2 linked regions of the Caenorhabditis elegans genome follow. The protein of the gene in region 1 interacts with the protein of each later gene in a biochemical or structural test. Each region holds a gene or a part of one and is shown on either strand. Other genes may lie near its edges.

Region 1 (5,437 bases):
TGAATTTATGGGAATTTGTGTTACCAAACGTAACCCGCAGTGTAACTTAGCCGAAATTTTTTTGCCGGAACACTTTCAGTTTTTGCAAAAAAATCAATCTCAAGTTACGATTGGAAAGTTTTTTAAACGAACAATTTTTGAAATTTTCGATGAGCTTTTTATCAAATCACAGCTGAAACAAAGCGGACTTTGTGAAGATTCATGTTTTTATTTATTAATGTAATACATACGAAAAAAAAAACAAAATTATAAATATCTGTGCAACAAGCCCACAAACTTTTCACTGACTTTGTTGTTTTTATGGATAATTCCAGTGTTTCTTACTAATTTATAAACGCTGATAAATAGTTATGTATTTTGAAAGCAGTCTCTGAAAAAAAACACGATATTAAATCAAAAAAATTTTACAAAAAAGCAAAAAGATTTGATATACATAACATTGTAACAGAATTTACGGCCTTTCCAACAAAACAAGTTTCTGTTGTCTTATAAAAATTATTCCAAAGATCTGGGAAAGTTCATTCAATATCCCCAGCGCTCATTACCATTTTCTTACGCATCGCACTTGGTCTCCGAACCTTCATTGCATTCACCTGAATCTTAGATAGCAAATGACGAAATCAGCCCAATCCTCCAATCATCCAATCGCAGACTTGAATAATCAACGCAACATTTGCACATCCTTAGAGGTCATCCCCGCATGACTCTATCATCCTTTTCTCCGAACCTTTTTTCCTCCGCTCTCCGCCCTCCATTCTTCTTTTTCCTGGCTTCAATCCCTTTTTTTACAACCAAATGGACCCTCTAAGACAATTGAGCAACGCCTGCGGAAGAAGGGCAAGCCAATCTGCAGTCGGTTGGTCCTTTTTTATTATTTACCTTACACTTGTTTCCGTTTTAATTGTTGCGATCTTTGTACAAGAAGAAAATCATGTTGGTTTTTGATGAAGTGAGTTCGGAGTTCGAATTGTTCTTTCAACTCCAAAAATCGAAGCACTTTTGTTTTATATTTTCGGTTTCACAGTATAACAAAAATTTGTTTGTAGAGTCATGTTTAGATTAGTATATAAAAATGTTAAATTCCACAAATTTGATTGAAAAACAAAAGTAGTGATTATTGTTTGTGTATTTCTCGAAACTTATTTTTCCAATTGTAAGGAAATATGAAATCAACTAATTCTATGGATAACATATAATTTAGTTTTAATTTGAAAAATAAAATAATGTTGTAGAACTTTAATGTAGTACACATTGAAAAAAAATAGGTTTGGCGGTAAAGCTTTCTAGTTCACCCATCTTCAAGTAATGCAAAATTGAAGTTTTCTTACCTGTTCTAGTTGGTTTTGAAATTCTCCTTAAACAAATTAAAGATAATTTTATTCAATTAAAAAATATTTTCCAGTATTTGACTTTTCACCAAAGTTAAAACAACTTGAAAAAAAGTTCAAGGTGTTTTCACATGTTCTAGTCTAGACTAGTTTCTTCAAAAGTGAAAAGACTTACAAAGGCAAAAATCCTTTGTCATTGTAATCCTCCGCCATAAAATTTTGTTTGTTTTTTTCTAAGAATCTGAAAATTAACTTTTCCGCCTGTCTTGCTCCATTTTTCTCATTCCAACTCGATTAGTTTATTGCATTAGTGCAGAATGTACAAACGTTTCTGAAAACAAACGCTTTTGGTGCCAGATGTTGAGGATAATATTAATCTTTTCTCACAATTTCTTCTTGTCCATTCTTTCTTTGAATTTATCTAAATACAATTTGTTTCAGCCCAGCTTGCCTTGGCACCAGGCTCTCATTTAATCACGGTAAGCCTCTCGGTCACTGTAAACTATATAACCAATCGTTTGATTTTCAGATATCAACACAAAGTTTACGGAGAATTGCAACTGAAAAGTTGTTAGGTGAAGACACATATACAGAACAATGTTACTGGAAATTGGCACAATAACAATCGGGAATATAACCCGAGCAAGAAAGTTTGGAGAAAGGTAAGTTCCTGAAAATGGAAAATGGGTCCCCCTCCGCATTTCAAATGAGGTGTCTATTAGTTTCTGGGAAAGTTGAAAGAGAAACCCTCCCACAACTCAAGTGTTAAAGTTCTAAGCCCAAATTCAGACACTTGTGAATATTAGATTATTGCCTATTTTGACGAGCTATGGTAAAAAAAACAACACTAATTTCGAGTGAAAACTCCAAAATTGTGGTGCACTTGTCACACCATCACTCATTCTCTGACAAATCTCGATTGTGTTTTTGAGCCAACCAGCTCTTATTCGTCGCCGTCAAAACTTTCTTAAATTGAAATCACATCTCGAAACCTTCTTCCGTTTTGCATAAAATTGAATTTAGTTCAACAAGTTTAAAATGCCACCCCTTTTCTAGAAAACAAATGATGACGTTTTCCACGTTTCTCAGTTGAGAACGAGTCATGCGACTTTCAATTGGTGAAGTTCTTTTTTTTTTCTTCTGAATTGGTGTTTTTCCATTACCAAAAAAAAAAGGGTTTTTGATCTTTAGATCAACATTCTCAATTTTTCGGTGCCAATCAAGATTCTTGGTGCATTGCGTTAGACAATACTGAATTGCAGCTAATCATGTAAAACAAGAAACAAATCATTGGCAAAATTGAGAAATTGTACCCAGTAAAACTAAAAAATATGGATCAAAGGGTGGTGTGAGTTTGTTGGGTGTTTTTCGCAGATCAATGGCAATTCGTTTGTGATTTTGAAAAAAATCGCTACAATTGTGAACATTGCTCTTTTTGACTTTTTGCTAACGATTTTACAATAGCTCAAATGTTGAACTTTTACTTTTCAAGATTCTTATAGTAAGACTTTTCTTGAACGATTTAATCTAGATTTTTTGGATCCAAAAACAGTATTCCTCTTACTCGTTGTACTTTTTGGCACTTCATTCTCCTACGGACCAACCACTTCATCTTTGCAACTTTTCGCTGACCTAAGATAATCAAATTCCTTAGAAGGAAGGAAAACTTTGAAACTTTCTCCCGCTCTCTCGAGTTTTTTATACCACCCACCTATAGTTCCTCTCTGTCTCTCTCTCCGTACTCATTTCATTAATGACGTTTTAAAATAGAGCCGCTAAAGAATTGATCTTATATATTAGGAGAGAAACGCATAGTGTTCGATCTTTGATGCTCAAAGCTCAAAATGTTAAAAATGCCAGCATGGTGTTATTATAATGTATCTGAAATACAAAATTAGAAGGTATCTGCAGAAATGCTGACGTGAAATGTGGGAAGGGGAAAGAGGAAAAAAGTTTTTACGATTGGTTGTGAGTAGGCGGAAAGATATGTTGTACAGCCAGTGGGGACATGATTAAAACCGTTTAATATTGCAAAAATGATAAAATATTATGATAAACTTTTCAAAAGCTATTGAAATTTTTTTTTACTCCGAGTCAAGATTTCAAAAATTTCATTTTGATATTTGGTAATTTTAGCACCACTATTGTAATGGTTTTCAATTATTTTTCACCTACCGTACTACAGCTTTAAGATTGTCACAGCACTCCGCTTTTTCTTTTGTTTCCTTTGAACCTGCTGAAGAACATGATTTTTTTTCCAAAATCTTTAATAATTTGCAATATTACCGTATACATATTTCCTGGTTGTTACGGACCTCAAAAATAATTTTCAGTTTATATAATTGTGATGTGCTTTTGTTTTGAAAACACCACATTGTCTAGCCCATTTGCTTTTTTTAAATGAATTTTTTATGAATTATGAAAACTACTTCCACTTAAAAAATCAGTGGTTCTGGGAAAATAACCATTTATTTCATTCCGTCTTCTTGTTTTTTTGACCGCGATGAACAAATACAAAATGAGAACATTAAAAGAAAACCAAAGTCACGAGACAACGTAGGCACCCAATTGTCTCGTAATTTATGAAAACACCAGTCACCAACCTAGAAGTACACCTTTTAGCCGGTCCCGATGAGGAAAACAATGAACAAAGGTTGAAGTTTTGCTATATGCATGTTTGACGCAGTCTGGCTTGTCCGGAACAAGATGTGCAATAGATTCGAGCTTTTGCGAATATTTTGGAAGAAATAGTAAATGGCCCGATATATCTAGATGAGACTTGGACGGAGGAGTAAAGTGGAAATTCGTTTACTTCATTCTATTTTGTGCTTAAAGAAGATATTTATCTGAGAAGCGTTGGGAAATGCATTTAACGGAAAAAGCCTTTCACATTCAAATTTTAATTTTCGATTCCTTGGCCAAGTTCATGTTGCGCTGCGATAGGCTTAGTATAATATTTTCGGAAGTTATTTGCATGTTCAGCAGATTGCGTCACAAATGCCATTTGTCCGATCAATTGAGCTTATTTTTATGTTACTATTTGGGAGGGTTGAGTAAGAAAATGCTAACTAACATCGTTTTTTGTCTTTTGAGATTTGAGAAATTTCTTATTTGCTTTCTCATCATTCTTTGTATTCTCAAAAATGAATGTGAACCTTGGAAAACGCTTGTAAGTTTTTTTTGATTCTTGAAGAGTTGAAACTGGGCAATTTTTCAAATTTATAGTAACTCGCAATGTTTTGAGAAATTTTCAATTTTCGGTTCTTTTTGAATATTACACATTCTACGTATTAGTTTCAATTTTCAAAATTGTTTAAAACGTTCATAATACACATTTCTCCCTAGAAAGAATGTTTAATTATTTTGTAAAGGTTCTCCCCAATTGATCACAAAAACATGTTGCGCATTCTGCTCAACTTGAATGCTTGTATCAATTATGAATGATGGTTTAATTTGAGTATTCACGCGCAAAAAACGTGAATCATGTTTTGCAATTTCTCACGTATGTAATATGTATTACCCCATCCCACCCAATATATACAGCCTCCGGAAACACATCCTCTTTTCTCATAAGCTTATCGTAGTTTTTTCTCATCACATTGGGACATGTTGTTTTCTTTTCTGATTTTATATTTGGTTTATAGTCTCAGGTTGCGTAAAAATTTGATGAGTGACTTATGTACTTCGAAAAAGAACCTGGAAGCTAAATATGTACATTTTAAGTTCTTCTTAGCCTACAGGTTTTGACGAGAATGCTCGCTCATTATCGCTTTTTTTCAATATTTAATCAGTTTGAAACAGCAGAATTTTGATCGCTAAAAATTATAAGCTTATCGAACAAAAACAGATAATCTGAGAGGATATTAGAGGATATATTTAAAATTGAGAATCGTGTAAAACTTCCTATCGGCAAAAATATATTAGTTGTTAGAATCTAACTTAGAAACTCAAACGCCTTTAGCGGAGATTGATAGCGTCAAATGAAATCTCAGCAGATGTCCAGCGAAACAGTTTGTTTACTCTTGTTTTTCAACATACAGTTTTGTGGCGTTTAGTTTTCCTGTTATTTTCGAATATCATCGCAATCCCAGACACAATCCGTACGTATT
Region 2 (7,545 bases), on another chromosome or scaffold:
CAAACTTTCGCCGACTTTGCTAAACTTTGTCAGTGTTCTAAAAAAAACGGAGTTTTTCAATTTTGAGTTCTCTAACTAAATAATTTCCCATTTTAGAGGAGTTTCAAAATTGTGATTTTTTGCAATAAATTGTCCATTTTTGCCACTAATGGTTTTTGACGGGTTAAACCTAGATTTTCTGAATTGTCCATATACGATTTACCCGTTTTCAACAAATTTAGGCAACTTTTTATTTTTGCCCATTTTCATTTTTCTGCCATCTAACGGCTGTCCTTTTTTTTGGGGAAAAAAATAATTTTTCTGAAAATGTACAAATTAAAACCGCTACATTCTGAAAAAGGGCATTTTTTAAGTGTTCGGAGAGCAATGTTGAGTCCTCTAACTACAAAATTGCCCATTTTAGAAAAGTTTCAAAATCGTGCAATTTTTCAAAAACTTCTGTCAGCTTTTGCCAACTTTCGCAAACGTTTGCCTGCTTTTACCAAAAGTTACCAACTTTTGCCAAACTTTGCTAAATTTTGCCAAACTTCGCGAACTCTTGCCAAATTTAACAAACTTTTCAAAATTAATTTCTTACAGGCAATGGCTGGACTCAACGTTGGATGCTTCCTCGGCATCGCTGCCATTTTCGTTGCAAATCTTGTCAACGATAAGATTCTACAGCGCTCGCAAAAGTTCAATAAATACGATCGTGGAGTTTACGTGCAGTAATTCGGCAGAAGTCTTGGGATTTTTTATTGCTCATTTTCATGTAAATTTCTAATACGATCTACTTATATTTATTCTTTTTTTTTTGTTCCATTTATCTCGAAGGGATCTTATAATTGCGTTTTTGTTCATTTTTTGGAATTATTGACAAAAATTCTAATAAAAAATTTACCGTACATTTTAAAAAATTCGAAGTGTTTTTTTTTCTGAGCATTCCAGCAAAACTTGTCAAAAAATCCAGATTCCCAGAAATTTCTACAAGACCCAGAAGTTTGCTTTCTTTAAATCGTTTTTAAAGTGGTTCATCGTGAACCTTGTTTAATGTCGGTTGCGCACTTATCTTCCTCTGACTTCTAGAAAATAACTCTTAACCAACGACAAGATTTATTACAATTTCTTCTTTCGACAATGCTGAGAGGGAGAGAGAAAAGAGATAGAGAGAAAAATATAGAAAAAAAAATCTTTCAAAAAAAAATGGTGTACTGTAGTTCCGTCTTTTTCTTCTTTTATTTGTATGGTTTTCAAAGATGTTTCTTCGATGATAGTAGATATTCCCTTCTTATTTGCGTCCGAAACGCAAGTATTCGTGCTTTCTCTTTCCGAATCTGAAAAAAATAGGGGAAATTTGATGGAACACAATTTCCTTTAGAGACATCGTGTGACATTTGATTTAGAAACAAACAAAAAGAACACCGAATTTGAGTCGAAAATTCAATTTTTGAAGTTTAATAGTGTTACGGAAAAGTGCGAAGATCAGAGCTTGTTCTCTCCGTTAAATTGTGCTCGAAAAATCACGGATTTCTGGCTTCCCTCATAAATTGAAATGGAAGAGTTTGCCAAACTAGGCCATTTTGGCTCGGTCATAGCTGGGGTAGATTTACGGCGCATTGCGTGTCGCGTCGCGGCTTGATTTTAGTTGTAAATCTAAATCACTTGTCCGTGTGGAGTACACGACTTTCCCACGCGTTGTCCGGCAGGCGATTGTCAATGGAGCGCGAAAAATGCAATGAGGAAGGCCTGAACCCCGTGAAAGTGGGAAAAAAAATTCGCGCATAAAATTCGATGCACAGACATCATATTTTACGCGCAAGTTTGTTACACGATTTTTCAGCCACAAATACAGGTCTCGACGCGACAAATTTTTCGTTAAATTCGAAAAGGTGTGCGACTTTGATTTTCATCGATTTTTCAAAGTTTTTCTATCATTTCCTCGAGAATTTGTCCGTATTATTTTTGTGTAAATAAATAATATTTTGCAGGACACTACAGTAATCTTTATAGGCTTTTGAATTCCTTCTGTATTAAAAAAAAACAAGCAAATTCGTGTAGAGACCTGAGAAGTATTACGGTGACGCAAAAATGACAATTTTTCGAAAAAAAAGTGCAATTGCGCTCCAAACGCTGCCATAATTTGGGTCTCGTTAAGAAAATTGGTTCCAAAAATTTCCTGGGTGTATTCATTTGTACGTTGGAGCGTATTTGCCCCCATCTAACAGTTGCAGCTTTTTGCGGCGCCATAATAACATCTGCCTACTACTGCCTGCCTATTGCCTGCTTATTGTCTTCCTACTCCCTGTCTGCCTACTGCCTGCCTACTGATTGCCTACTGCCTGTCTATTCCCTGCCTGCCTATTGCCTGCTTATTGTCTACCTACTCTCTGTCTGCCTACTGCCTGCCTACACCCTGCCTACTGTCTTCCTACTGCCTGCCTTACAACTAAAAAAAAATCACAAACCTCAAGTACTCGTGCTTCCTTTTTCCAAATCTGAGATACTCGTGCTTTCTCTTTCCGAATCGGAGGTATTCGTGCTTGCGCTTCTCCATGTCATTGTCTCCCTCGTTGGTCTCCTCCTCGAGAGCCAATCCTGCAACAACGTTTCCCATTGGGATCAGACCTCAAAGCAAGAGCACAACCATCATTAAGAATTTAAAAAGAATTTGGCGCTTTACATTTTAAAAGTCAGGGGCTTTTTCAAGAAAATGGCGGAACGTGATTGATAGTCTAGGCTTTCGGCTGGGTCACCGGAGGCTTATTTGATGCAGAGAAAATGAAGTTTGACTCATGCAGCTGGCAAATCGGATGTCTACTGTCTGCCTGCCTACTGCCTAGTTCCTGCCTACTGCCTAGTTTCTGCTTTCAGCCTACCTACTGCCTACCTACCAGGCCTGCCGGATTTTCTGCTTTTTTTTTTGAAATAATTTTGCTTTAAAAAAACCGAAAAATCGAAAAAACAAATTTCGGCGGCGCCCCTGTTTCCTACTTCTGCATACTGCCTGCTACTGCCTACTTACTGTCTGCCTACTGCCTGCTGCCTGCCTGCCTACTGCCAATTTTCGTTTTTCAGATTCCAATTTTACGGTATTTCCATTTTTCGGTTTTGCTAAGACAGAAAACCAAAAAAACTGGATAAGGCACCCCTGCTGCCTACTGCCTGTCTACTACCTGCCTACTGCCTACCTACTGCCTACCTACCAGGCCTGCCGGATTTTCGGTGTTTTTTAAAGAAAAAATTCGTTTTTCGGTTTTGCTAAAAAAAAACCAAAGGGAAAAAACTGGCAAAGGCACCCCTTCTGCCAACTGCTTGCCTACTGCTTGCCTACTGCCTACCTACAGCCTGCATACTACCTGCCTACTGCATGCCTACTGCCTACTGTCTACCTACTAGGCTTGCCGGTTTTCCTGTTTTCCGGTTTTGCTAAGACAGAAAACCAAATAAACTGGCATAGGCACCCCTGCTACCTACTGCCTGCCTACTGCCTGCCTACTGCCTGCCTGCTGCCAACTTTCGTTTTTCAGATTCCCATTTTACGGTTTTTCGATTTTTCGATTTTGCTATAAAACAACCAAAAAAAAACTGGCATAGGCACCCCTGCTGCCTACTGCCTGTCTACTGCCTGCTTACTGCCTACCTAGTATTTGCCTACTACCTGCCTACTGCATGCCTACTGCCTAGTTCCTGCCTTCAGCCTACCTACTGCCTACCTGGCCTGCCGGATTTTCTGTTTTTTTTTTTTTAATTTTCGTTTTTCGGTTTTGCTAAAAAAAAAACAGAAAAATCGAAAAAACAAATTTCGGCGGTGCCTCTGTTTCCTACTACCCGCCTACTGCCTTCCTACTGCCTGCCTGCTGCCTGCCGGATTTTCGGTTTATTTGAAAAAATTGTTGTTTTTCTGTTATGCTCAAAAAACCAAAAAAACCTGGCATAGGCACCTCTGCTGCCTACTGCCTGTCTACTGCCTGCCTACTATCTACCTACTATCTGCCTACTGCCTGCCTACTGCCAACTTTCGTTTTTCAGACTCCAATTTTACGGTATTCCGATTTTTCGGTTTTGCCCAAAAAAACCGAAAAACCTGGCAAAGGCACCCCTTCTGCCTACTGCCTGCCGACTGCCTACCTACTGCCTGCCTATTGCCTACCTACCAGGGCTGCCGGATCTTCGGTTTTTTTTTAAATTTTTTGTTTTTCTGTTATGCTCAAAAACAACCGAAAAATCGAAAAAAAAATTTTCGGCGGTGCCCCTGTTTCCTACTGCCTGCCTCTTGCCTGCCTACTGCCTACCTACTACCTGCCTACTTACCGTGAGTCTGAACGAGACGTTCAACTCCCTCCGAAACGAGAGCTCCGAGCTGAGCAAGAAGCATGCTGCTCTCGCTTAATTGGCACAAAAGCGCCTCTTGTTGATCGCCGTTGTTGGCCAGAATCTGGAAAATGTGTTTTTTTACAGTAGTACGTTTTTCAAACCCAGTGATTATTCCGGAACAAAATCCTTGGGAAAAGCACGAAAATTACATGGTTTCAAAAAAAAAACCAACCGGAAGCCTTGTAATTATAGGTTCAGATTTTTGTCGAGGACTACGGTGAGATGAAGCCCGTATTTGACAGCTCATATCTCGGCTATCTTTAGCTTTATCAAAAAGTTGTTAACTAGAAAAATATAGGTTTTTTCTTTTTCTGCAACTTTATAGTTTAAAAAATTTTGCTATCTATAAAATGAACCGAGTTATGATCTACCAAAGTGGAGTTCTAAAAAAACTTTGATCTACTACTTTCCAACCCCACAAAAAAACACATTCAAATCAAACAGAGAATAGTATGATCAGGTTAGAATCATCTAGATTAACTATGAAAAAGAAAATAGATTTTTTTTCTATTCATCGCAAGTTGTTTAATCTTTATTGTGCATCCAATCCTCCCCCGAAAAATGAGCAGAAATTGTGATCTTATTAAGTTTACTACAACCGAAACGTCATGAGGATCAAAAGAATATCATATTTATCAAATTTTTTGTCCAGAAAATGTGACGGCAGCACGTTCTTAACCATGCGAAATCAGTTAAGAAGTCTGCGTCTAAGTTCCCGCGATTCTCGTAGATCTGCGTAGATCAAACCAATACACAGTAGTCATTAGTTTTCGCTGCGTGATATTTTGCGCGTCAAATATGTTGCGCAGTACGCATTCTCAGAATTTTGAGAACCATGGGATGTATGACGTCACGCAGGCCCTAACTTAGTTTTCGAAAAACTTTTCCAAAATGCACTAAACTATCTCATTATAACTTCCACTTGCAGTTTTGAAAAAAAAAACTTTTTTAAACCCAATTATAAACATGACTTTAAACTTCTTAGAACAAAATGGTTTTTTTTTGACTCACCGCTTGACAATCCTTCGGATTGTGTGGAGCCTGTGCGGCTCCAGAAGCTCCGGCTCCAGCCGGTGCCTCCTGGCCACTGGCGGCCACGACGAACGCGGAGAGCAGAAGCGCGGTGGGCAGGCAGATCATCATATGAAGAGAGCTCTCAGTTGGAGCCAGAGGAGACTTCAAAATGGGCGGAGCTCGGTGTTGAAAGTGAAATGTTGTGGGCGTGGCTTGGTAGAGCTCGAGGAGAAGAAAAAAAAATGAAACAAAATTCAAGAGTACGGTAGCACTAAAAATTTTACGAAAAAAAAAACAAATACTAATTAGCCGAGGGGATGGGGTCCCCGGATTAGCAGGATTTCGCTAAAATTTTCCGGGAAAATTGGAAAAGAGAAAACACCTCAAACATCTGAGAATCTGCCCCGGAAGTAATAAAAAATAAAAAAAACCAAAAAAAATGTATCGGAGGTTCCGTAAGGAGGCCCAGGGGCATATTGAGTTAAGTGACAGAGGAGGTCAATGTTTGAACAGAGCAGATGTATTGATAGGTCAGGCTAGGCAAGTCTAGGAGTCTAGTGAAGAGTAGGCAAGGCTAGGTGAGCCTAGGCTAGGTGAGGCTAGGCTAGGCTAGGCTAGGACAGACTAGGTTAGGTTAGGCTAGACTCGGTAAGAATAGGACAAATTAAGCTAGGCCAGGTTAGGCAGGCGATGGATAAGTTAGGTAAGGCTAGGCCAGGCTAGGCTAAGCTAGGCAGGGATAGGTGAGGGTAGGCTTGGCTAGGCTTGACTAGGTTTGGCTAGGCTTGGCTAGGCTTGGCAAGACTGGGAAGTTAGATTAAGCTAGGCCCGGCTAGGTAGACATAGGATAAGATAGGTAAGATAAGGTTGGACTAGGTTAGTTAAGGGTATACTAAGCTAGGCTAGGCTAGGCTAGGTGAGGCTAGACTAGGTAGGCGTAGGATACGTTATGTAAGGTTGGCTAGGCTAGGCAAGACTGGGATTCTAGGCAAGGTTAGCCAAGCTGGGAGTCTAGGCTAAAATATGCTTGGCTAGGCTGGGCTAGGCCAGCCTAGACCAGCCTAGACCAGCCTAGGCTTTGCTCAAACTATTCCCAAATTAAACGTTCAGAACAAAAAAGGAAGTATAGAACCATCGCTTAATGTTGTTTTCGTGCAATTCTCCACGTGGTGCTCCGTTTTTTTTTCTTCTAAAATTTGTGTGTGCTCGTTAAGTGTTTTCTTTTCTTTTTTCACTCGAAAGAGGCTGCTCTAATTGGTCTGACTTTGTGAAAAATTGTAACTTCCAGAACAAAATAACACATTTGTCTTTTTTTGAATTGCCGCATAGTGACATAACTTGGGTCTCGTTAGGTTTTTGGCGACAAAATCGTAAATTCAAACTTTTTTATATCTCCTGATTTCGTTAATTTTTCTAATTTTTTCAGTGTGTTTTAATGTTTTTTGTGACGAAAAAAATCAAAAAATCAAAAAATCGAAAAAAATCATTAAAAATAACGAATAATAGCTAAAACGACCAAATTCCTAATGAGACCCATTTTATGAAGACGGAGCGTTCCGAGAGAGTTGGGAACATCGGCCATGACCGCGACGGAGCTTCAAAAAATTTGCGGAAATGATGCACAGGCTTCTAGCCTTCCTCATCGATTTTTTCGCGCTCCATTGACAATCGGCCGCCGGGAAAGTCGTGTGAACTCCACACGGACATTTAGTTTTACAATCGAGCCGCGACGCGACACGCAACGCGCCGTAAATCTACCCCAGATATGGCCGAGCCAAAATGGCCTAGTTCGGCAAACTCTTCCATTTCAATTTATGAGGGAAGCCAGAAATCCGTGGCCTTGGCCGCGGCCTAGGTTCTCAGTAAACTCTGCCATTTCAAGATATGAGGGACTCTGAAAGCCCGTGAAGAAGGGCCAATTTTAGGTAGTAAATAGGCTTCTTAAGCCCACGCATTCTTCAAGAAAAGTCGTCAACAACATCAGGTCAGTTTCCCTCGGGCTTTTTGTACTTTCTTAACCTATTTATCTGCCTTTTTCTTGTTTTTGTTTTCTTTTTTCCCATTATTTTTTTTTCTAATTAACGCTCATTCCAGATAGATTTTTTCCATGATATAACTTCTTCCTATGAGCTCCGAAAATTTTTTTTTGTAGGAAAATGGAAAATAATTAGAATTTGG

What was found. The genes of interacting proteins can lie anywhere in the genome.
Region 2: of the proteins of npr-4 (region 1) and flp-14, one has a biochemical effect on the other in vitro, tested with the Caenorhabditis elegans proteins (one study listed by BioGRID).

What each region holds. Positions count from the first base shown.
Region 1 is NC_003284.9:12,548,010-12,553,446, reverse strand, and holds the start of npr-4 (G-protein coupled receptors family 1 profile domain-containing protein), read left to right. Parts: upstream 1-1,769; 5' UTR 1,770-1,807; intron 1,808-1,857; 5' UTR 1,858-1,925; coding exon 1,926-1,990; intron 1,991-5,437.
Region 2 is NC_003281.10:12,908,463-12,916,007, reverse strand, and holds flp-14 (KHEYLRF-amide 4), read right to left. Parts: upstream 5,499-7,545; 5' UTR 5,497-5,498; coding exon 5,365-5,496; intron 4,415-5,364; coding exon 4,291-4,414; intron 2,575-4,290; coding exon 2,445-2,574; intron 1,314-2,444; coding exon 1,268-1,313; 3' UTR 1,078-1,267; downstream 1-1,077. Other genes in the region: Y37D8A.16 (MARVEL domain-containing protein), read left to right, coding at 580-711.